Linked DNA regions of Saccharomyces cerevisiae S288C. The protein of the gene in region 1 purifies or fractionates together with the protein of each later gene. This does not show direct contact. Each region holds a gene or a part of one and is shown in the gene's direction. Other genes may lie near its edges.

Region 1 (6,365 bases):
ATCTGGGTGAAAGTGATAACGAAATTCAGTACGACATACTTGGCTTAGAAATCAAATATCAAAGAGGTAAATACATGAAATTAGGTATGGAAAACTCATTAACTGAAAAAATACCCAAACTAAACGTACCTTTGAACCCAAAAGGAAGGAAACTTAGCGCTCCAGGTCAACCAGGTCTATATATAGACCAGCAAGAACTAGAGCTAGAAGAAGATGATTACAAAATGAAGGTACATGAAATGCAAAAGCTGATAGGTCTAGCATCATATGTTGGATATAAATTTAGATTTGACCTATTATACTACATCAACACACTTGCACAACATATACTATTTCCGTCCAAGCAAGTGTTAGATATGACATATGAATTGATACAGTTCATATGGAATACGAGAGATAAGCAATTAATATGGCACAAAAGCAAACCTGTTAAGCCAACAAATAAATTAGTTGTTATAAGCGATGCATCGTATGGTAACCAACCGTATTATAAATCACAAATTGGCAACATATATTTACTTAATGGAAAAGTAATTGGAGGAAAGTCCACCAAGGCTTCATTAACATGTACTTCAACTACGGAAGCAGAAATACACGCGATAAGTGAATCTGTCCCATTATTAAATAACCTCAGTCACCTTGTGCAAGAACTTAACAAGAAACCAATTACTAAAGGATTACTAACCGACAGTAAATCTACAATCAGTATAATTATATCCAATAATGAAGAGAAATTTAGAAACAGATTTTTTGGTACTAAAGCAATGAGACTAAGAGATGAAGTATCAGGAAATCATCTGCACGTATGCTATATCGAAACCAAAAAGAATATTGCAGACGTAATGACCAAACCTCTTCCGATAAAAACATTCAAACTATTAACAAACAAATGGATTCATTAGATCTATTACATTATGGGTGGTATGTTGGAATAAAAATCCACTATCGTCTATCAACTAATAGTTATATTATCAATATATTATCATATACGGTGTTAAGATGATGACATAAGTTATGAGAAGCTGTCATCGATGTTAGAGGAAGCTGAAACGCAAGGATTGATAATGTAATAGGATCAATGAATATAAACATATAAAACGGAATGAGGAATAATCGTAATATTAGTATGTAGAAATATAGATTCCATTTTGAGGATTCCTATATCCTCGAGGAGAACTTCTAGTATATTCTGTATACCTAATATTATAGCCTTTATCAACAATGGAATCCCAACAATTATCTAATTACCCACATATATCTCACCTTCTTACACTGTATATGATAATATATTAATATTAAACCAGTCAATAAATGTAATTGATTATTTCAACACGAAAACCTAACTATCAACGATATCACATAGAACAGCGAAGAGTTAGAAGATTTATTAGAAGATTTATTAGTATAGGTTATTTTAGATGCAATTTTTCAATAAAACCTGGTTTCGTGGTCTAGTCGGTTATGGCATCTGCTTAACACGCAGAACGTCCCCAGTTCGATCCTGGGCGAAATCATTTTTTTAGCACTTTAGCAGCATATTGCGGTATCGAATCATCTTCATGAATGGCGCAGATTTATTTGAACTGTTCAATCATAAATTAACCTTATGTGAATAGTCTGGGTAGGTTGAAACTTCGGAAATCACTTGCTTTTCTGAGGGCTGCGCGTAATCTAGATAGATCTACCTAAATGACACCGATGGCAACTTCAAGCTATACTAACTCCTAGACATTACTTTCTTCAGTATTCCCTTAGTGCCTGTTTTGAGCTATGAGATTGGTATTATTATTTGAAATATCTTCTATTGCGGTATCTGATTTTATATTTCTAGCTTTGTCATAAAATATAAAATACACAAATATATATATAGAGATAAGATAGATTATTTTTGATGACTTGCAAGTTGCACTAGGATTTGTTTTTCTTCTAAAAACCCCTTAAAGGTATTTCCAGAGAAAATATTATGCTGGTTATTCGATACTATTATCCAGTATACACTGACCTATGTTATAAGCAAAGGTTCTTCGTTCTGCCTCTTTAACAGGTGGAGTGCGTGCCATTATCATCAATGAAAGTTTAACATGTAATTGTCATCAGCTGTATACTGTTCGAATCTGTTCATTACGAAGGTTTAACTTCAAAAATCGAAAAGAAAAAAAATAGAAGATAAGAATATTGCATAGATCCTTCTTTTTTAGTGAAGTCACCGAATAATACATATAATGAAGTTAAAATTACAAACCGTGCAAAAACACCGCTGATTTAGAGTGGGCGATTTCATAGATCAAAAAGCAGGCTAAATATGAATTGAAAATTAAGTAGTCTACTATTTTCTGACAGCAGTGGCGCGCGACGGTTTCCAGGAAGTTTATTATTCAACGTGTCCAATTTTCACACGCTGCTTGACATCGTTATTCCCTGAACGCATTTTTACACTGTATGCGCAATTTGAGCCACTTTGATGGACTATTATGTATGAATAGCTTAGCTTAAAGAAGTAACAGTAGAGTGTTGAACCTTTAAGTGCTTGATGTACTCGAGCCTTTTTCTATGATACCTCACTCCAGAAAAAAGCGTTTAACATATCTGGCATTGAGGGTGGTCTCAAACAATAAAAGTATCCTATTTAATATTTTAACATTGCTGATAACCTAAAAAATCTGAACGTTGCCAGCATAAAACCTCAGCTTTATATCGTACTGAATAACATACTTACTGCAGGGCGAAATTTTTCTCAAATTGTGCCTAAATCGTTAAGTTACTAAACTTTTACGCGCAGTACTGGCATTGAGCGATCAATATTGTTTAATGCGTAGTGACGATCTTCTCCACTTATATTTTTTTATTCGTAGTTCTCTATTTTCGTTTCGATTTGTTTTCTCTGTCTACCAGATTAAAAGTGATTTGAAGTTTTTTATCATGAACTAAACAATAAAATTACAAAAAAAAAAAGTCAGCGTCACCAAGGATTGCTACCAATATACGACTTTACTGCTGTATTATCGAATTTTACCTTCTAGGATATTATGTAAAGTCTCTAGCAAAGGGAGAAAACTAATGTTACTAGGACTGAAGAACATTTTCCTCTTATAGTGTAAAATTGATTTTGACAAGAATATAATTAATACATTTTTTTTCTTTTGATAGCAGTATTGAGTACAATGAATTGAGCATTCAAGGTTCAACATGTGATAGTAGCTCTACCGCTAGTATGTTATTGCTAATTAAGTAGGATTGAATTGTCGCGATTTTGTCATTTTGGGTTTTAATAACTCTTGTACGGGTTACCCCATTTGTTTTTGAAGATTAGTGAAAAATTATTGAAAATTTTTTTTTTTTTGGTTTTGCGATGAGCTTATAATTTACATATGTGATATATTCGCATATAGATCCTAGCGAAGAAAGGTACTGTATTAAATCTGTTCTAACATAACTAGGTCAATGATGGCTAAGAACAACAAAACTACCGAGGCAAAGATGTCGAAAAAGAGAGCAGCTAGCGAAGAATCTGATGTCGAGGAAGATGAGGACAAGCTTTTATCCGTTGACGGTTTGATCGATGCGGAAGCAAGTGAGAGTGACGAGGATGATGACGAATACGAGTCTGCCGTTGAAGAAAAGGAATCATCTTCTGATAAAGAAGCCCAAGATGATTCTGATGATGACTCCGATGCTGAATTAAACAAACTGCTTGCCGAAGAAGAAGGTGATGGGGAAGAGGACTATGACAGTTCTGAGTTTTCAGACGACACAACTTCCTTAACAGACAGATTATCGGGTGTGAAATTGCAAACGATCGTTGATCCGAATATTTACTCAAAATATGCAGATGGCAGTGATAGAATTATCAAACCTGAAATTAATCCAGTTTATGATAGCGATGATAGTGATGCCGAAACGCAAAATACCATTGGTAATATTCCACTTTCTGCATACGATGAAATGCCACACATTGGATACGATATCAACGGTAAAAGGATTATGAGACCTGCCAAGGGTTCTGCTTTAGATCAACTGTTGGATTCTATCGAGCTACCTGAAGGCTGGACTGGTTTACTGGACAAGAATTCCGGTTCAAGTTTGAACTTAACCAAAGAGGAATTAGAACTTATTTCCAAAATCCAAAGGAACGAACAAACTGATGATAGCATAAATCCATACGAACCGTTAATCGATTGGTTCACGAGACACGAAGAAGTGATGCCATTAACTGCTGTTCCGGAGCCAAAAAGAAGATTTGTTCCATCCAAAAACGAAGCCAAGAGAGTTATGAAAATTGTAAGAGCTATCAGAGAGGGCCGTATTATTCCTCCTAAAAAATTAAAGGAAATGAAAGAAAAGGAAAAAATTGAAAACTATCAATACGATTTATGGGGTGATTCTACGGAAACAAATGATCATGTAATGCATCTAAGGGCACCAAAATTACCTCCACCAACTAATGAAGAGAGTTATAATCCACCAGAAGAGTATCTTTTGTCTCCTGAAGAAAAGGAGGCCTGGGAAAATACTGAATATAGTGAAAGAGAAAGAAACTTCATACCTCAAAAGTATTCTGCCTTAAGAAAGGTCCCTGGTTACGGTGAATCTATTAGGGAAAGATTTGAAAGATCTTTGGATTTATATTTAGCTCCTCGTGTCCGTAAAAACAAATTGAATATTGATCCTAATTCTCTAATTCCAGAACTTCCCTCTCCCAAGGATTTAAGACCCTTCCCTATTCGTTGCTCAACAATATACGCTGGTCACAAAGGAAAAGTACGCACATTATCCATTGATCCTTCTGGATTATGGCTAGCAACAGGATCTGATGACGGAACAGTCAGGGTATGGGAAATTTTAACTGGTAGAGAAGTTTATAGAACTACTTTAATCGATGACGAGGAAAACCCAGATTACCACATTGAATGCATTGAATGGAATCCTGATGCTAATAATGGTATTCTCGCCGTTGCTGTTGGTGAAAACATTCATTTAATAGTACCACCAATATTCGGCTACGATATTGAAAATAACGGCAAAACTAAGATTGAAGATGGTTTTGGCTACGATACTTTTGGGACTGTTAAAAAATCTAACCTAGAAGTGAACGAGAATGGTGATGGCGATGAAGATGGAGAGAATGAATCTGCTAAGAATGCTGTAAAAAAACAAGTAGCCCAATGGAACAAGCCTTCTCAAAAGCAACTAGAAAAGGATATTTGTATCACTATTTCTTGCAAAAAAACAGTAAAAAAGCTTTCATGGCATAGAAAAGGTGATTACTTTGTCACTGTTCAACCTGACTCTGGTAACACTTCTGTTTTGATTCACCAAGTTTCCAAGCATTTAACCCAATCCCCATTCAAAAAATCGAAGGGCATTATTATGGATGCGAAGTTCCATCCTTTTAAACCTCAATTATTTGTCTGTTCCCAAAGATATGTCAGAATTTATGATTTATCTCAACAAATATTGGTCAAGAAACTGTTGCCTGGTGCCCGTTGGTTATCGAAAATCGATATTCACCCAAGGGGTGATAATTTAATTGCGTCATCGTTTGACAAGAGAGTTTTATGGCACGACCTGGATTTGGCTAGCACACCTTACAAGACACTAAGATATCATGAAAAAGCCGTCAGAAGTGTGAATTTCCACAAAAAGTTACCTCTATTCAGCTCTGCCGCTGATGACGGTACCATACATGTTTTCCATGCCACTGTTTATGATGACATGATGAAAAATCCGATGATTGTGCCACTAAAGAAACTAACCGGTCATAAAGTAATCAATAGTCTGGGTGTTCTTGATGCTATTTGGCATCCGAGGGAAGCTTGGCTGTTTTCTGCCGGTGCTGATAATACGGCTCGCTTATGGACCACCTAGATAAATAATTTGAAGTAGATATTGTATAATAACGCCCAAGAAGAAAAAATCAAACACTCGAACCAGGCTCTTTCTACAAGCTTTATTTACACAATATATATAAACCTATATGTATAGATGCCCACACGCACGTTTGGATTATTACCTTCAATGACATTGCTAAAAGCCCATTTCCTTCATAGCATCCAACTCATCTTGATCTACGCCAAACTCATCTCCCCCTGGCAATAAATCATAATGAGTATGTTGTCCCTCTATATCATTCATTTCCCACTCTTCCAAACTTTGAATCAGTTGAACGTCTTCTTCAGTCATAGAGCCTTTTTCCATTTTTCTATGCGCATCTAGCCATCCTAATAAGAGCTTCTTCTCATTTTCTTCAAGGCCAACGGGCCCTTGTACCCTGAATGTCTTCAATAATGCATCCAAATCTTCCTTAGGCGGCACAACGTTGTTAAGTACCGTTTCATTATTCCCACGTTCGTCCAAAACTCGTCCTC
Region 2 (4,295 bases), on another chromosome or scaffold:
CCACTCCCAAAGGGCGAATACTACACCAGATTTTTGCATCCTTTGGGACTATAAGACATTTAGCAACCGCACTCAGTGGGCACAAAGCTAATTGCAACTAAGTATATAAATGTAAATATATATATTCTCAGGTTTTTTTGTTGGAAGTTATCAAACGGAACACTCTGTGGACATTTATATTTTTTGTTTCTTAGCTCCATGTTCAGCAAGCTTTTCACTGGAGTCAGCTGCAGTCGCGTTTTCCGATACAGGTTCAGGAGCAGGGATGACTCTGTGACACCACATTAGATATCCACCACCACCTTTCATGGTCATCAGAGGGTGTAGCTTACCCCTTATACTTTGGTACGGCCTACATCTAGTTTCCAAAATTGATGGTGCTAAAAACCTGAGGTCTGAATATAAAGTATGAGCTAATTCCAACAAAGTTTCTTTGAATTGACCATAGCATACAATCGGCCTTGAACCATGGATTTTTTCGGCCAACTTTGGCACTAGTGTTGGTAAATGTAGTGTAGTAGCCATTACAAGACCGTCATATAGGAATTCTCCTGTTAGTTCTAAAATTTGCCATTGTGTATTGTACCATCTGAGTTTTCGGTAGTACGAGTTTTTCTTACCACCTTTTAATGCACGGGCTTCTTCTTTAGGTAATGGTGTAAATCTGCTCTGAATCTCTTGTAGTGTAGGCGGTTCAAAAAAATCTAATAGAGAAATGGTGTGTACATGCTCTTTAATAAATTTCTCAGAATAATTAGCAAACTTCAGCAAATCCAAGTTGGCATGTTCATTTTCGTGAATAACTATGACTTTGCCCTTGGATTTGCTTTCATTGTCACCGCCAAACATTCTTTCCAACAGAAAGTAAACCAATAACCCACCCGTTTCATCCATACAGAGATAGTTGCCTTCTGATTGGATGTTCGCAAGATTTAACAGCATCCCCATCGATTCCTGAGACATATCCAATACCCTTTGGATATCGCCTTTGTCGATTAAGAATTGTAAAAGGTTAGAGCTACTTAAATACTCAACGGTGAAGTACTTGGCGAATTTTTGTTTCTTCCTATTCACATATTTCTCTTGAGAATATACGGTCTTGTTGTGAAAACTTTTGTGAGATTTGATAATTTTGTCGATTATTTCTTTACTAGATAAAGATTCTTGTTTCATTTTTTCAATTTCTTCAACGGTTAACTCTTGGGCCTTGCTGCCCATGTTAACCAGATTCTGATTCGTAGCACTGCTGTCAATGCTAGACAATTCAAGAGACACAGATTTTTCCTTAATAGATAAAGGAGGCTCGCTTTGACCATCGTCTTTATCATTATTGACATCTTTGATCTCCTGCGATAATAGCCTTACTTTCCCGATGGGAATTTTGTTCTTTGGTTTCGAATCTCTATTTTCATCGGATGAAACCTCTTCGCCATCATAATATATCTCGAAAGTCAACCCGAAAGGATAACCAATTATGTCATTAACCTCGAAAGCACCGAATTTTCCTAATGATACAGAGGTGTTGGGCTTTAGTTCCACTATCTTGTAATTTTTTGATGGCAGCCGGACGATAACGTGCTGATTAAAATCTATGGTTGTCAAAGCATTCATTGTGCACTAAATTCAAAGTTTTTTTGTCCAATTCGTTTGCAACAATGTGAGTAGGATCCAACGTGCCAAAGAATTTAAAGTTGAATATTATTATTGTTATTATACACCTCATCGACTTTTTTTTTTTTTTTGATGAAATTTTTCAGATTTTACAAAACCGTTACCCAGTTTCACGTTTTCTGAAAAAAATTTTCATCTCATCGCAGAATAAGTTTAAGATGAGCTGAGCTGCAAATACAGTTGTCGCTAAGGTATATAGATTTGTAATTCTGGCGGAATTCCCCTTGTGTTGGCTAATATTAGAATTACATATACATATAATAGGAAATGGGTAGTAGACGTCATAAGAACAAGCAAGCCGCCCCACCAACCCTGGAGGAGTTTCAGGCAAGAAAGGAAAAGAAGGCTAATAGAAAGCTAGAAAAAGGAAAGAGACCTTCTACCACGCAAGGGGATGAAGTTTCTGATAGAAAGAAAAAGAAGTCGAAGCCATTCAAGAAATCTAGAAAAGAGGAGGAAGAAGTTGTTGAAGAGGATAAGGATTTGCCAGAAGTTGATCTTGAAGAATTATCAAAAGCCAGGAAATCTTTATTTGATGATGAAGAAGATGACGATGAAGCAGGATTGGTGGATGAAGAACTAAAAGATGAATTTGACTTGGAACAAGAATATGATTACGATGAAGATGAAGATAATGACGCCCACCCAATTTTTTCAGATGACGACGATGAGGCTGATCTTGAAGAACTAAATGCACAAAACATGGAAGCTCTTTCTAAGAAACTTGATGAAGAAGAAGCTGAAGAAGCTGAAGAAGCCGAAATGGAGTTAGTGGAAGCGGAGAACATGCAACCAAGAGCAGACATATTGCCCACTGAGGAGCAGGAAGAAATGATGGCACAAGAAACTCCTAATTTAACTTCCACAAGAACAAGAATGATTGAAATTGTAAAGGTTTTGGAAAATTTTAAGACTCTTGGTGCAGAAGGCAGATCGAGAGGAGAATACGTTGACAGACTTTTGAAAGATATTTGTGAGTACTTTGGTTATACACCATTTTTGGCGGAAAAGTTATTCAATCTATTCTCACCAGCAGAGGCGATGGAGTTTTTCGAAGCCAATGAAATTGCAAGACCAATAACCATCAGAACCAACACCTTGAAGACCAGAAGGAGAGACTTAGCTCAAACTCTTGTGAATAGAGGTGTTAATCTACAACCTATTGGTTCTTGGACTAAAGTTGGTCTTCAAATATTCGATTCCCAAGTCCCAATTGGTGCTACGCCAGAATATTTGGCAGGTCACTATATTTTACAAGCGGCATCATCTTTTCTACCAGTTATTGCTCTAGATCCTCATGAAAATGAGCGTATCTTGGATATGGCAGCTGCTCCAGGTGGTAAGACCACTTATATATCAGCTATGATGAAAAACACAGGTTGTGTTTTCGCTAACGACGCCAATAAATCTAGAACAAAATCTTTAATTGCTAATATCCACCGTCTAGGCTGTACCAACACTATTGTATGCAATTACGATGCCCGTGAGTTCCCTAAGGTAATTGGAGGTTTTGACAGAATTTTACTGGATGCCCCATGTTCCGGTACTGGTGTTATCGGTAAGGATCAATCTGTCAAGGTGTCTCGTACCGAGAAGGACTTCATTCAAATTCCACATCTACAAAAACAATTGCTTCTATCCGCCATTGATTCTGTTGATTGCAACTCGAAACATGGTGGTGTAATAGTATATTCGACATGTTCTGTTGCAGTGGAAGAGGACGAAGCTGTCATAGACTATGCATTGAGAAAAAGACCGAATGTCAAGTTAGTCGATACTGGTTTAGCGATCGGTAAAGAAGCGTTTACTAGTTACAGAGGCAAAAAGTTTCATCCTAGTGTGAAATTAGCGAGGAGGTACTATCCACATACGTACAACGTCGATGGGTTCTTTGTCGCTAAATTCCAAAAGATCGGTCCATCTTCGTTTGATGATAACCAAGCAAGTGCAAAAGAAAAGGAAACTGCTGCTAGAAAGGAAGCTTTGGAAGAAGGTATCATTCACTCTGACTTCGCAACCTTCGAGGACGAAGAAGACGATAAGTACATTGAAAAGTCTGTGAAAAACAATCTTTTGAAAAAGGGTGTCAATCCAAAAGCTAAAAGACCTTCTAACGAAAAATAAGTTCCCACAAACGTAGTGGCATCATGTTAGCATAGTTTTCTCTCTCTAATCTTTCTCTGTCTACATATATATATATATATATATATATCAATTTCAAATATGTCTCACTGTATATTAAATTCAAAATAGAAATAATAAAGCCGATTTGTAAACAGCACTAAGAAAAAAGGCGATGATATTACTTATTAATATTCGTTGCCAATATAGTATTACATATATCTCTATTTATTTCTCTTTTTTTGTTTTTAAGGCGTTTCAGTTTGCTGTCTCCTTAGTCTTCAAAATACTTCGTATTCCCTAACTTATGCTCTTTGATGTACTCTGGACCGTACTCTTCGTATTCTTTCTTACTGATAACTGTTTTCCTATACTGTTCTTCGTTTCGTGCTAGAGCTGCCATACCCTTCCAGGCATCCAATGAAGGATCTGAAGACATATTTACAGTGATATTGGTACCGGTAGGAAGGAATCCAGTGAATTCCTTCACAATACGTTCTTTC

Evidence for each region. Proteins that work in one complex are often made in the same cells at the same time.
Region 2: the proteins of ERB1 (region 1) and NOP2 purify together in Saccharomyces cerevisiae (affinity purification with mass spectrometry; 6 studies listed by BioGRID, with this or other methods). This does not show direct contact.

The regions. Positions count from the first base shown.
Region 1 is NC_001145.3:367,594-373,958, reverse strand, and holds ERB1 (ribosome biogenesis protein ERB1), read left to right. Parts: upstream 1-3,441; coding exon 3,442-5,865; downstream 5,866-6,365. Other genes in the region: CSM3 (Csm3p), read right to left, coding at 6,025-6,365.
Region 2 is NC_001146.8:508,602-512,896, forward strand, and holds NOP2 (rRNA (cytosine-C5-)-methyltransferase NOP2), read left to right. Parts: upstream 1-1,938; coding exon 1,939-3,795; downstream 3,796-4,295. Other genes in the region: MTQ1 (S-adenosylmethionine-dependent methyltransferase), read left to right, coding at 1-101; tRNA 1-methyladenosine methyltransferase subunit GCD10, read right to left, coding at 175-1,611; actin-related protein ARP5, read right to left, coding at 4,067-4,295. UniProt on the Saccharomyces cerevisiae protein: S-adenosyl-L-methionine-dependent methyltransferase that specifically methylates the C(5) position of cytosine 2870 (m5C2870) in 25S rRNA. Required for 60S ribosomal subunit synthesis and processing.